2 linked regions of the Astyanax mexicanus genome follow. The protein of the gene in region 1 interacts with the protein of each later gene in a biochemical or structural test. Links are inferred from orthologs where the notes say so. Each region holds a gene or a part of one and is shown on either strand. Other genes may lie near its edges.

Region 1 (7,954 bases):
AAATGTGATGACACACATTTTAAGATTACCTGCTTGTACCTTCATAATCTCATCACATCGTCAAGTGACTCCAGTGAAAGGTGAAAGGTAACTTCACCCACTGACTGACTCTAAACAGAAACCAGACATTGAGGTACTTTTTTCTGACATTACTGAACACAAGACTACAGTGATGACTGTGTATTCATATTTTGACCTATTTCACCAGCACCCCGTGGGGACCTTTTGAGGCCTTTGGTAAAAATATGAACTCTATTTAAACAGCACAAATTTATTAACCTGGATTCTTTTGTCAATGTGCCTCCACATTCATTCACCTTACAGAACTAGATAATGGGCCTAACAATGATGCTGACATTTAGAAGGAATGGAAATGCAGCTGACTGCTTGGCAATCAGTCCTTTATTACAGACAGATGTAGCTAAGTATATATATATATGTTTTGCCTATATGAATTGGAAATGGAAATAATAATCTTTAATCTTCAAATCCCAATGCAGAGAATTTTAGAAGACCTGCTCAAAATCAAACCCACCACTTAATATAATAAGCCACATGACTTTTGTAAGGTATGTTTACAATATAATACGGTCGCAGTGGTATGCTGTGTTTGTCGTAAGGTATGTTTACAATATAATACGGTCGCAGTGGTATGCTGTGTTTGTCGTACCATGGTATGAAAACAGATGTTATCAGACCATGTATATTTGCTTAAAACTAGTATTGGTAAAAAAAAAATGCAACTGAATAGAGAATCCCTCCAATTTGTTACTTTTATGTTCAGAAACTATGATGCCATGAAACTGTGATACAAAGAAACTGTGATATCATGAGGCTGGAATATTTTTGAGACAGTCATCCAATTGTATCATAACATGATAAAAAAACCTTCCAAATATATGTAATAACAAAAAAGACGCAGTGCTTTCAAACCTCAAATAACGCAAAGAAAACAAGTTCACATTCATAAAGCTTTAAAATTTCAACAATCAAAATTTGGTGGAATAACTCACAGTTACATCACAGTTTTTATGCATCTTGGCATGTTCTCCCCCACCAGTCTTACACACTGTTTTGGATAACATTATGCCACTCCTGGTGCAAAAAATCAATCAACCAAGTTCAGCTTGGTTTGATGGCTTGTGATCATCCATCTTCCTCATCATTATATTCCAGAGGTTTTCAATTTGGTAAAATAAAATAAACTCTGAGGTGGTCTCTTACTTTTTTTCCCAGAGCTGTATGCAATGTATAAAAAGATAACGAAGGTGTCTGTTTTAATCACCTTCAGTCTACACATTATGAAACATTTAGAAATCATTAATACAATGCCTAAAAACATTCTTTCCAAATAAAAATAACAACACTCTCCTTTAAACACACACATTGATTAACACGGACAGTCTTGGCAATAAACACCCAAATTAACCTCACAGATCTGAAAACAGGCCCAGTGCTAGTGTCGACATGAGGAATAAATGGCGATAGCTTGTCGTTGCGCATCGATTTAGACCGAAAGAAGCGTGTTTTAATGAAAACACTTGGATCACATCACTTTACGTTACAGCAAAACAAGACACCGGTTTTCTAATGGAAGGAAAGGAGAGAAATAAAGCGCTTACCAGCCACGGGACTCAGCAGCAGCACGGCACACAGCCCAAGCGCCAGAACAGACACCCGGCCCAACACTGCCATAGCCTTCATGCTTTATTCCTCCTTATTAAACTGTTGGGACACTGCTTTAAGTTTTAAGCAGCTGCGTTCCCCGCTCGTATTCTTCTTCCTCCTCTTCTCGTCCTTATTTCCAGTGGGGTATCCGAGCTCATTCGCTGGGAGGGAAGAGTCCAGCAGGAGCGGAGCAGCAGTGCGGTGTGAGAGTGAACGGGCGAGGCATGGTTTTCTTTTTCTCCCCGGCTTTCAGAACCAGAACCAAGTAACGTTAGTCAACTAGGGTTAACTTTAATCGGTTTAAAGTTTAACCAGCTAACTAGCACCGAGAGCTGTGAGTCACTTCGTGTGTGTATGTGTGTGTGTGTGAGAGAGAGACTTCTCCAAGTAGCTAAGGTTAACTGGCGTTAACTAACGTTACATTTAATCGCCATTTCAACGTCGTTAAATGTTATTTCTTGGCTAAAGCTACCTTCAGCGAAGAATCCGCTGCTGTCCAGAAATCACCAAAATAGAGACCATAAACCACCATAAACAACAGCGCGTCTCTGCTTTAGTTAGTTAACTAACTATATATAGACCTCACACATAACCTGGATTAGATCTTTAGTATGACAACAACCGGTAAACAGTTCCTAAATAATCTAAATTTCACCACATAACGCTACAGTCCCCGCAGTGTGTCTCAGTTCCCCGATAACAGTCCCGACAGTCCATTTCTGGGAACGTTGAGATTGTGGTAAACTAGCGTTGCTAGGTAGCTAACTAGGTAGATTAGGTTAGCTAACCTAGCAACAAACAGCTAGCTATGTTAGTTAGCTGACTAGCAACGAACAGCTAGCTTTGCTAGCCAATTTAACTAGCAACGAACAGCTAGCTAGCTAGGTTAGCTAGCTTAACGATAGTACCTAACACACATTTGGCAGCTTCTTTTTTTAAACACTTACGTTCCAACAATTATTTAGGACACAGGCTTATGTTTAAAAAAAAAACACGACAAAGAAGAAGTCTATCAAGTCCGCTATCTTCCCAAAATCTGCCAGAAATCCACAAATCGTCGAGCTCCTCGCCCCGAATCTTTCCGAACAAGCCCGACAGACATGAGCGGAGCAGCAGCAGCAGCAGAAGAGAGAAGAGGAGGGGGGTCGGTCTGAGCGGCTCCGCGTTTGACTCCAAGCCAAAACCGGGGCCTTTAACAGCGAGATAACACTCCTAAACACACACCACCGACTAAAAACTGAGCGAAAACACAGAGGCACGGTCCTACACTTCACTTCTAAAGCACTTGTGTATCGCTAGCTCGCTGTAACGCAACGCGTTTCCACAGTCTAGTCCTTTCGTCCCCCCCTGTCGGCTCCTCCGCCAGCCAGCCAGCCAGCCGTGCTCGATAAGTTCGCCCGTTCCCGCAGACAGACGCTGCAGGGCGGCGAGTCTCCCCTCCCTCTCCCCTCCTCCCCTCCCTGCTCTGCCTCTTAAACAGCCCCCAGCAGCCTAAGCGGGGAGCACAGCGAGCTCAGCTCAGTCTCTGTGCTACTTACTATTAGCTAGCGCCTCATTCAGAAACATCTAGCTACTGAAGCTACCTATAGTAGTAGGCATGTGCCGTATCGTATCTAATTAACGTTATATTGCAAAATTCTGACACGATAAAAAAAACTCCATATCCTTGAAGACACTGTGTTTTGTAGTAATATGGCTATTTAAACTAATTTATTTACGTTTAACCCAATTTTAAATCATATTTTGGTTATTACACCATTTCATACTATACAATTATGTATCGCCCGATAATTGATTTTTTTAGAATCTTTGGCATCAGCATAAGCATCGGCCGATTTGGCCAGAATTTCAAACCATACGTACTGACGTATATACTGTATGCCGGAAAAAACAAGTGATGATTTAAGCATTTTTCCACTTTTATTGTTTTTTATTAGTTTTAAAGTTATAAAGTTATACCACGGTGTCTTCTCTCTCTGTAAGTATATCGGCATCAACGTATATCAATATATATACGGCGTGCAAGTGGGTCATAATCAAAAATACGAATATGTGCAAGAATATGTAATAAGTATTAATTTATATTCTTACATTACTATTGTAAACTTACTAAAACAAGGTTTTTCAATTATTAAAATCATTGTGTAGATCAATTTTGTTTTGATTCAAATAATCAGTGTATCAAAATAAAAAATAGTATTAATTTCTATATAGTATATATGTTAAAAAAGTGGTGTGATTTAGTTTCTACCTAAAATATAATACATGCCACTGGGTTAATTGTTTGTTTTCCGTTTACATGCACTAAATATGCTACACTTTAGTTTTGTGGTACACTTTTGTCGTTAATGTTACATTTTATATGTTGTTAAACTAATATTTTGTTCCTGTAGTATACTCTTGTTCTGGCATATCGCCAAGAATATTGTTGTCGCAAAAACACACTGAAATATTGTAATATTATATTTTTGGGTCATTTTTAGATATTATATATCCACGCATAATACCCATCTAACAAGATAGCTAGTTAACTAAGTTACATGGATACACAACACATCAATTCTTTTCTTGTTTTTCTAGCAAACCTTCATTTTACTGTAACGTTACCTAACATTACTTGTCTTTATAACTTGCTACGTGTGAGACATTAAGACGCCTTAAAACCATTGAGCCATTATAGCTACTTGATTTCTCGCTTGCTTGCTTGTTTTTTAATCAATTTACCAAACATTACCTACTAGTTTATTAATTATATATATTCATATAATTAACTATTAATTATAGTTAGATAAGTTAGCTAAATGAAGTCACTAACATATGTCCGTTTTTAAAAAATGGGTAAAGAAAAACTTTTCTTTCAAAGGGATGAATTACAGTAAACAAGAACAAAAAATCCATGAATTTACAGTTAATTTACTCCTAGCAGTATAAAAGCAGGAGTGATAGTTTACTCCTACACACTTTACAGTGTACTGTGAATTTATTTGAGTGGTCCGAGCGCCCCCTGGCGTTCACTGCTCACTATTAAACAGTCTGCTGTAAGATGAAAAGCCAATATATATATATATATATATATATATATTGGCTTTTCATTATGATGTTAATTCATTATATATATATATATATATATATAATGAATTAACATGTAATATATATATATATAATGAATTAACATCATCGTATATGACGACATTGACTTTCAAAAATCACAGTAGCTTCACACTGAAATAACTAATCACTAACTAATGTTTTTTTCTTGAAAAAAAAATAAAGTTTTGCCTCAATAAGTTTCGCAGAATTCTCCTATTTACAGTATTTATCTCTACAAAATTGTATTAAAATATAAACTGAAAACACTGTAATACAATAATGATTCTGTTAACATATTTAAGATTTAATTTTAACAAAACAAACCATGAAATAGAGGTTATTTTTTATTGAATAATTACCCAAATAGCAAAAGCATGTTGAATCAACGTTCATTTTTCCCGAGCTAATGCACCAGAACTGATTTACGTTGATTTAACATTATGTTTTTATAAGTATGGTTTGTATTAAACGTACTTTACCAACTTTACTCATATGAAAAATGTATATCCTGTGTGTATTCTTTTCTTATAGTCTATATTATTAATTATTAATAATAATATCATTATCTTTGAGAAGCACCGTTTACCTATAAGCATTGTGAGTGTAGATTCAGAGCCCCAACCAGAATTTATTTTAATATTTAACAAATAATTTAGACAATAAAGCCTGTTTTAAGGTATACCTCAAAATATGTAATGCAAACAAAAAAGGATATTGCTATGCTGACATACTACTGTCAAATATAGTATATTTCTGCAAGAAAATACCAAAAGACATACCAAAGACATATACTGTTAAAATGTATAATAGTAGTAGTAGTCATAGTAGTAATAGTAATAATAATAGTTAAATACTTTTATTTTAACAGTGAAAATCTTAGCTCACACAATGTAAAACTGTAGTAGGTCCTCTGTATAATGAAATACCTTTTAGTAACAACATACTGATAGTCTCTGAGAGACTGGAAAGCATGTTTACAACATCATAAATTGCAGCTTCTAATGGTGCCACAACTAGAACATATTTGTTATTAATGCCCTCTTAAAAATAAGAGCAGTCATAATTTACAATGACTGCCTAGTTGGTATTACATGATGACTGTGGAGTCCCAGAATTCCTAAAACTCTAGAATGAAACATTTCTTTGTCAAATATAACATTAAAAGCTTATGACTATTGTGAATAATATTATTATGAATAATAGATTTTTAAAGACTACTAATATAAATTAAAATATCATTATAATGGCATTGTAATTTTGTATTATAGGCCCCATATGTTGGACTTTCGAAAGTCATTTCTGTAGCCTTGTCTCCAGTTCAGGAACAGAACTAAAGGCCTAACACATCAGATTAACCACCCATAATACAAAAGTAACAGAATAACTAAGCAGTTATGTTTTGACTTCTAGTGGGTGGGACTCTGGTCTGTCTGGAAGTGCTGGGTACAGTGTATACCAGTTCTTGCATTACTTTTCCATGGGGGCCCAATGCAGTACCCTCACATTCTCTACACCAGGGGTCTCCAACCCTGTTCCTGCAGTGGGAAACTGGAAGGTGCTTTAATAAACATTTACTAAACATTTTCTTCTAAAAACCTTTTCTTGAAGGTCCATCACGAGGGGTGTCTCTTATACGTTTAACAGTGTGGAAAGCCACCTTTCAGCATTTCCTTGTAGGTCTGCATCAGATCACAATTTCTTGATAATCATTACCCATGTGATACCCATGTCATGTTTGGAATCTATTATCAACAGTTCTGAAAAAAAAAGGATCTGAAAAATCCCAGTTTAACTTGCTGTAGTGATAACATTTCATTGTCTTTACACAGCAAAAAATCAGCAACTGCTAAACCCAGCACAGGGTCTGCAGTGGTATTTGGTGTTTAAGCAGCAGTGTGAATGGGCATGGAGCAAAGTGTCGTAGTTCAGTTATAAACTCTCCCACACCTTAGTTGCTTACACCCCCTTTATTTGCCATTTAAAAACATCATAAAAGAGCACTTCCACATGAGGAGCTTAGAGCTGGAATTGTGACAGGTCTATATATGTCTTACAATAAATTTCTTACAATAAAGTAGCTCTTCTCTTTCAATTTTTTTATTGCATTATGGGACGATAGTGTCCATCTAAACCACATTTAAAACACAACCACAATCAGTTCTTAGTATGCATAGCAAAATTGAGTGTATTCAATTCTGACACCTTGATACATTGTACTAAATACTACATACTCAAAATAATAGTACTAGTAATTAGTATACATCAATAATTTTGATAATATATATGTGCATTACCCTCAATCCTTTTTGCTGACCTCAATATCACCCATTATGTTTTATTTATAAATAAGGAGAGCCCATTATTTAAGTTTTATTTATAAATGGTATTTAAAAATTTATCAGTCCAGATGGTGTCAGCCTGCCTGCTCCAGACTCTTGAACTTGTTGCACAAAACTCCTTTTCTCAGCATGCACACACACCAGACTTCACCGCCTCCACTGATCACGTGACACTACAGCATTCTGGCTCTCCGAGCTACTGATTGTTTCCACCTGCTCTCCCCTGCATATGTATTCCTCAGTTTGCTTTGCTCCTTGCTGAGAATTTAAGTTAGTTTTCTAGCTCTTCTAGGATGTGTTTCCTTTGTTTTTGGCAACCCTTTTTTATAGTGCACCTTGCTCAGTTTATTGTTTAATTTATTGCCGACCTATTCATGCATCTCTGTCTCCTCTCTTGCTGTTTTTGGATACTTCATGAATGACCCCTGCTTGCCTGACTACTCTCACTGGTATGTTGTTTATATTTGCTCCCATATGGTTATTGACCCTGCCTGTCCCTCATTATTTATAAATCCTATCTGCATGTGTCTGTCTTGTGTCTGGCCTATGTGACAAACATTTTATATTTCAGTTCTGGAGCTAGCTTAATAATTAAAGGTTCATAACATGTTAAAAGAATTCAATTACTTTATTATGCTATTATATTATAGAATGTTTTTAACATAAAGTTAATATTATTGTATTATTTATGGAACAGTACATTGTCCGTACAACCATTATTTGGTTGTGACCAAACAGACCCTGTACTATGCCAAATGGTCCAAAAACAGAAAATATGATGTGAAATAGAAACTTTGTGTAACATAAATTGTTTAATATGAACAATACTGTACACAACTGCTCAAGAGTCAACAAAG
Region 2 (7,485 bases), on another chromosome or scaffold:
TATCATCTTACAGATATTACATTTGGAACAATAAAGACATGTTATTTAAAAATGCTGGAATTGTTATGGTAAGACAGTTGTAAAACAAAAAAATAAGCTATTGTAATTGCTGCAGTTCCCAAATGTATAACGTAATTTTTAAAGGAATTGTTGGTTAACAGATACAAATCTGTCTGAAAAAAAATATTTTCAAAACATCTTTATTGACAACATTAATATTACAAAAAATGAATGCAGTAATAAGGTAATTAGAAATTTTCTCTGTCAATGGCAGCAGGCAACAGCAGAAATGTATTAACGTAGTATTGGTGTGCTGAGTATCAAAATATAAAACAACACTTTACCAACAATTTTATTTGTATTATTAAATGTTATTTTTAAATATTTTTATTTCTTATCATTATCTCGTGGTACTCTTGCTGTTGAAACAACAATAGACATTACCATATTTCAAACACATTTCACCCTTGAAGGTTGGTTGTTTGCCAGCTGGGAAGGATAAAAAAGTTCCTTATTCCTAATGTTGACCTAGCTCTCTCAGTTCTCACAATGAAACCAAGAATAAAGGTAAAGCCAAAGAATAAAGGTAGCCAAGGTAAAAAAATAAAAAGGATAAACTAATTAGACCTTTACTCTGTCTGTCCCTGTCAAAGCAAACTGGAAGTGATGGGCTAATTGGATTTTTTTAGCTCCGTTCACACGTACCTTCAAACGCTCCTAATTTGCACAACAATTCAATTTATTCCTTGTCTAATCGTCGCGCCTTCGTTGTCTCGGCCAATCAAACGTCAGACCGCACGCAGGCGCACTTTTTAAATGATTAATCTGGACGCCTGCAGCCGGCAGACTCGTTAGCGTTCTCTGTTCAGTATCTGCTCACTATGGCGGTTTTTAGGCTTTTATTTCTGTCGTGTTTCTGCTCGTTTGGACTTATTGACAGCACGGAGGACGTGCAGGTTCAGGAGCAGCTGTTTTTAAGTTCTCTGGGTCTTTCCAGTCGGCCGAGGCCGTCAGCTCGGGGTCCTGTGCCCTCACTACTGTGGAGGATCTTCAAGAAAACCGACGAGAAGCGACCGGATACTGACCCGGATCCGTGCACGGTGCCGGAGTACGGAGTGAGGGGCAACATCGTCAGATATGTCCTGGACCAAGGTGAGCTTCCTGCCCCTGCCCCTGCCCCTGTTCTCACCACAAACCTCCCTGTGCCCCATTAACCCATCATTAAAGGAGAACTCCGGTGTAAAATGGACTTTTGGTTTAGTAAAACATGATAAAAAGTACTTAACATTGATGAATAGCACACCTCTGCTCTCCCACAGCGCTCCGAGATCCAGAAATTAACAATTTGTCCAAACACCCTTCAGACTGGGTGACACGGGGCAAAATCTTCCACAATAAATCGCTTTTTCCACCGTTATCATGGCTCAAAGAAGCTCCACAACTTATTGCTAGAATCCGGAGAGCCCTGACATTTAAAACGAGGCATTAATAACTTAAAAAGTAGACAAGAAGCTTATTAAAAAGCACTGTTTACATCCTATAACCATAGCTTAAGCTCTGCATAGCCTGCCTTCTGGCGCCGGCTGCTTTGCTATGCGGAGTGTGTGTGTGGATATATGTATGTTTTAAATCAAGTTATTTTATTATTTTTTTTATAATAAAATATATATATATAATTTTATTTATTTATTTTAAATTCTTAGTCAATTTCTATTAGTCTAGTTCTTTATATATGTGTATAGTTCTTAGTCAGTTGCTCCTCTAATTGGTTTACTTCTTGAATAGGTCATCAAATATTGCTAAAATGATTTTATTTACAGATGTATGCAAGTTTAATCATTCTTGTTTTGTTTTAAACTTTTTTTTATATATGAAACATGTGCATGATTACTGGTATTTGTATCATTTATCATACATTATAAAAAGAATAGCAAAGATAAAAAGGCATAGGAACATTGTATTGTTTTTAGTTTGTTTTTCCACTGTTGGTCAGTAAATATTCTGAGAAATACAGGATTTTAAATTAGTTTGAACCTGGAGTCTCAATATTTGCTACAATCCCTAGTGTAGCAGGGAGAATTGGTTTGATCACCTAGCTAGCCAACCACATCCTGCTGGGTTAAGAGTCTTTAAGCAGAATCCATATACTTTGCATTTGCCTACCTGTGTAACATGATATAAATTATTGGTGTTTGTTTATTTATTTATTTTTATATTTATTTATTGAATAAATATTGAACATGATCTGTTATCTTTCTCAACAGGTAGACTCATTTCTGACTCAATCAGCCACGGTGTGGAGAAGCATCTTTTTTTCAACATGTCTGTTCTGGAGGATGTGGAGCAGCTTTCTTTTGCCCAGCTTGAGCTGAAGTTCAAGCCAGACCTTTCCCACTTGTCCCACCAGGTTGGTCAGCATACTTTCAGCATGCACCTCTACAAGGTCTTGAGGACCTCACTGAAAGGCATGAGCCATGACTCTAGCCGCAGACTGCTGCTCTCCCAGTCTGTTCATTACACACACAGCACTACCGTCCACTTCAACCTGACCGACCTGGCTGAATGGTGGAGGAAGCCAGGCAAGAACTTTGGGCTGGTGCTTGTTCTGCAGTCTACTCGGCTAGACAACCAGCTGGACCCAGTGGACTATGACTCTAGTTTTGTGGGGGTCCCTGAACTGGTCACGTCACTGGTGGTTGTGTCTCTGAACCCTTACCAGTGTAGATCGAGGAAGAAGAGAAGTGCCTACTATGTGCCTGTGAGCCCCAGCAATGTGTGCAAGCCCAGGCGCCTCTACATCGACTTCAGAGACGTCGGCTGGCAGGACTGGATCATCGCGCCCCAGGGCTATGTGGCCAACTACTGCCATGGAGAGTGTCCTTTTCCACTTAGTGAGAGTCTGAATGGGACTAACCACGCCATTCTGCAGACCCTGGTCCACTCCTTTGACCCAAAGGGGACGCCTCAGCCCTGCTGCGTCCCGGTCAAACTGTCTCCTATTTCAATGCTTTACTATGACAATAATGACAATGTTGTCCTCAGGCATTATGAGGACATGGTGGTGGATGAATGCGGCTGCAGATGAGCTACATTTTTGTTTGTTTGTATTTTACGAATGGAAAATAATAAAAACTTGCCTTTTTTTAAACAAAAAATAACCTACCTTGTTTCAGATTCTTCATCCCATTTTTAGACATTTGTTAATTTAAATCCAAGGTTCAGTCAGTCCAATAAGCAAAGGTGGCAAATAACAAAATAAAAAAAAAACTTAAATTGTTTTTGACAAGTTTTACAGAGATTGCATGTTTGATTTATTAATTAATTTATTTTAAATTGCTGCTTTTATACATGCATTTAGGCCTCTTACTGTGTGCACTGCTGTTGGTATGGCCCCTGAAAAGTCTCAGTTTACAAGTATACCAGTACAGTTCAATCACTCGTGGTGTTTTCAAATCTATAAGGACAACAATGACTGTCAACACTGTCAAAAGTTTTCTGAATAAACTATATTTACCACCAGTAAATACCTAAACACCAACACAGTTAAACAGGAGAGGATTGTTTGTTAATTTTAAGTGGGTGGAGTACATTTTTAAAAGAGCAAAATAGAAAAATAGTGAACTTTAGTATTTTTAATTGTTTAATTTAATTCAATTGAGCTCAAAGTGTGTATACATTTATTCTCATTTTTAATAAAAAGGGAATAAAAAAAATTAGAGGCCCCTGTTTAAAGACATGCTTTTTACTTGAGTAATACAAATCATACTTCTACTATTTTTACTTGCATACATAAAAGTACAAATATTCAATTTTATGTACTTAAGTATGAGACTTGGCCACCTCTGCCAACAGAAAGAAAAAAGCTGAGGGCCGTTTCTGTTGGGAATCCTCAACATTTGGACCGAAGATGAATAATTGAGAAACTGAGGTTTGCAGTATTTTGAGGCTTGAGGATTAAGGAGACCAAAATGATCACTGGCCCTCCAGGACCAGGATTAAAGAACCCTGCAGTGGTGCTGTGCTGGTGTGGGAGATGTACTTCTCAATTCCCTCCACTGGTTGGTGCTCTATAACCAGATTTGGTCTATTGTAGTGGAACACAGCAGCAATTGAGTTAGTAAAAATAAATATTTCTGGCTGAATTCTGCTGTATTTAAGGTAGGGTGGATTTTATGATCCTAAGGCTTTATATGTAAGCTGTATTTTTTTGCTTCTTTTTAGGAGAGATAATGGATCATGAAGGGAGAGGAGGGAATTTCATCAGTCATCTCATGTGTTGGATGTACCTGTACCGTTTCAACCACTGGGAACCCGAGCACCACACCATTATTAATCCTTATTTGACAGCATGGATAGGGTGGTGTTTGATTTTCTTTTCTTTTTTTTTTTTTTCTTCCTTCTTTTCTTCTTTGCTCGCTGTGTTCATTCGTGACATCACTGAGCCACTAAAAGCCACATGGGCAGAAGGAGAGAGGAAGAGAAGGAGAGAGAGTGTCAGTGAGAACAGTGCGCACACCAGACTCCACCAAGCTCTCTCTTTCTCTCTCTATCTGTCTATAGGAGGAAAACCAGACCTTCTGCTGCTCTTCTGACTTGACTTCAGGAGGTCCATGCGTTTGGGAAGCTCTCAGAGATGGATGTTTTGGATGGAGGACCCTGAGATGGAACCAGCAATGATTTGAAAGGAAGTAGCCAATTACTGGTGCTGGGCAGCTGAGTTCTGAAGAGTTTGGAGTTCTTCTGCTGGACTTTCTCCTCTGGAGCTAGCAGTGCGTGCACGTAGTTAGGGCACGCGCGTACGCACACACGTTTACGCGCGCATACTGCATACACCCACCACAGCACTCAAGGTCTCAAAACACAGTTGGACTCGATTGGACAAGGTGGTGAAGGTAGACTACAACTTCTGGTACAATCTGGATTGATTCTTCAGTGGAGGCTTCTACATCTTATCTTCCTCTACTGATGGACAGACTGCGAGTGCTTGGTTAGAACCTGCTGAGGAGGTTCTCCAGTTCTTTATCTGGGACTATGACTTAGGGTCCCAACCGTCTACGATACGCTTGCGTGTTAACGTCCAGCAGACGTGAGCAGGATGAGGTCCAACTTTAGAAGCTAGAAGAAGAATAATAAGAAGAAGGACATAAAGGAGGAGGAGGACCCACAGTGACGGACATGGCTAAGTGGTACCGGAGACGCCAAGTGGACGCGCGCCTCTGCCCGTGCCCGTGTGATTAAGCGCCACCAGCCCCCAGGTCTTGACCGACCGGGCGCTGGGTGACCATGCGCTCCGCCGCGCTGCGCCGCGCGCTGCCCCTCCTGCTGCTGCTACTGGCTTACGCGCGTCTCGGGGGCTCCGCGGGGCTCGTGCCCGAGCCGGGCCGCAGGAGATACGCTGCGCCCTTGTCGCAGGACACCCTCAGCACCTTCGAGGCGCGACTCCTCAGCCTCTTCGGCCTCAAGCAGAGGCCCACCCCCAGCAGGTCCGCCGTGGTTCCGCGCTACATGCTGGACCTGTTCACTGCGTACTCCGCCAACGCGGAGCCAAAGCACGGCGCGAGCAGGCGCGCGCTCGGGAGAGAGTCCGAGAAGTCCGCCAGCCGCGCGAACACCATAAGAAGCTTTCACCATGATGGTAAGCGAGCAGAAATTGAAAAAAAAAAAAAAAACTATCGCGTTAGTGTTAATAATATAAACAAGGTCAGTACAATACATTATATTTTCATAGGGATCAAGATAAAAGTGCGAAAATAATAATTGCATCAAAAGAGAAAGCTCTACATGCTGCATACTAGGGCAGTACGATAAATCATATTTTTATTGTTATCATGATATGAGTTTCCATGATAAACCAAAAATCCCCAAAACTGCAATAATTGAAATCAAATTGCATTACATACAGCTCAGGACAAAATTAAGAGACCTCTTGTGATGAGTTTCTTTGATTTTACCACATTAAGAACCTCTGGAATATAATCAAGAGGAAGATGGATGATTACAAGCCAACAAATTAAGCTAAACTGCTTGACTTTTTGCACCAGGAGGGGCATATAGTTATCCAAAAGCAGTGTGTAAGACTGGTGGAGAAGAACATGCTAAGATGCATGAAAACTATGATCAAAAACCAGGGTTATTTCACCAAATATTGATTTCTGAGCTCTTAAAACTTTATGAATATGAACTTGTTTTCTTTGCATTGTTTGAGGTCTGAAAGCTCTGCATTATTTTGTTTTTTTTTCAGCCATTTCTCATTTTCTGCAAATAAATGCTGTAAATTACAATATTTTTATTTGGAATTTGGGAGAAATGCTGTCTGTAGTTTTTAGAAAAAAAAAAACAGCAATGTTAATTTTAATCAAACATATACCTATAAATAGCAAAATCAGAGAAACTGATTCAGGAAATCAAGTGATCTCTTAATTTTTTTTCCAGAGATGTTTATGCAGCAGAGAGATCTCTTTATTCTGGAGACAAATTGTATAAATAGATAAATTGTATTTTTATTGTTATCGCAATACAAGTTTTTTGGATAAACACATCCAAAAAGTTGCAAAAATGCAAACTCAAACTGCATTACCTGTGCAGCAGAGGGAGCTCTTCATGCTGCAGACTATGATCATGTGACATAGCAAATTAAGGTGGAGGTAGAGCTATAAGATAAATCATATTTTATTGTTTATTTATTGCTAAAAATGCAATAATGCTTTTCACATTGCATTACCTTCATTCCTCACAAGAGAGAGCTCTTCACACTGCGGACTATAATCATGTGACATAGCAAATTAAGTTGGCGGTAGAGTGAGGTCGAGGTCCATGGTAAAGATACAAACACACCAATCTAAATTACTACTTATCCTGGGAGAAAATAGGTAGAGAAAAAACTCATTTTGTTTATGGAGATGTTTGCGCAATCTTGGTTGTGCAGAAAACGCAGTGTCCTCACTGAAAATAAGGAACAGGTGTAGCCAGCCAGCCAGCCACCAACACCAACAGGGCAGGAGAAGGAACACGGGCAGCACATTCCTGCAACCACTCACAAACACAAATGTTCTGTTCTGTTCTGCTCTCTGAACACCTCTTCCCAATTCTTAGCCCAGTCAGGTTCTTTAGCATGCATAAATAGAAGACAAAATTATATATAAGGCATATATACGTATATACATAAATAAATATTAAAGTGACTGCACAGTTCAAACATAACTGTGTAATAAGAAGAATAAGCAGTTTGCAAACAAGTGGATATTTGCCATTAAACCATGCATTCATTTTACTTTCTGCAAATGTATTACCTAGACAATCCATATAGTCTTTCAATTAAAAGAAAGGCTTAAGAATTGTTTTTCAGAAGTGCCTTTGAACTAAATGAAATAAAAGCTTGATTTGTTTTGATCAGAAACATCTGAAGGTTTCGCAAACCTTCGCAAAAGAACACACACTGTAAAAAACGAAAGTTTTAAAATCCACTCAAATTTGAAACTTTTTAGA

The links. The genes of interacting proteins can lie anywhere in the genome.
Region 2: the proteins of bmpr2b (region 1) and bmp2a form a complex in vitro, tested with the Homo sapiens proteins (4 studies listed by BioGRID and IntAct, with this or other methods). The link is inferred for Astyanax mexicanus from reciprocal best matches to the Homo sapiens genes BMPR2 and BMP2.

The regions. Positions count from the first base shown.
Region 1 is NC_064418.1:35,543,637-35,551,590, reverse strand, and holds the start of bmpr2b (bone morphogenetic protein receptor type-2), read right to left. Parts: upstream 3,099-7,954; 5' UTR 1,705-3,098; coding exon 1,623-1,704; intron 1-1,622. UniProt on the Homo sapiens protein: On ligand binding, forms a receptor complex consisting of two type II and two type I transmembrane serine/threonine kinases.
Region 2 is NC_064421.1:16,604,733-16,612,217, reverse strand, and holds the start of bmp2a (bone morphogenetic protein 2), read left to right. Parts: upstream 1-4,386; 5' UTR 4,387-5,283; coding exon 5,284-5,635; intron 5,636-7,485. Other genes in the region: gdf3 (protein DVR-1), read left to right, coding at 882-1,152, 2,265-3,085. UniProt on the Homo sapiens protein: Growth factor of the TGF-beta superfamily that plays essential roles in many developmental processes, including cardiogenesis, neurogenesis, and osteogenesis. Induces cartilage and bone formation.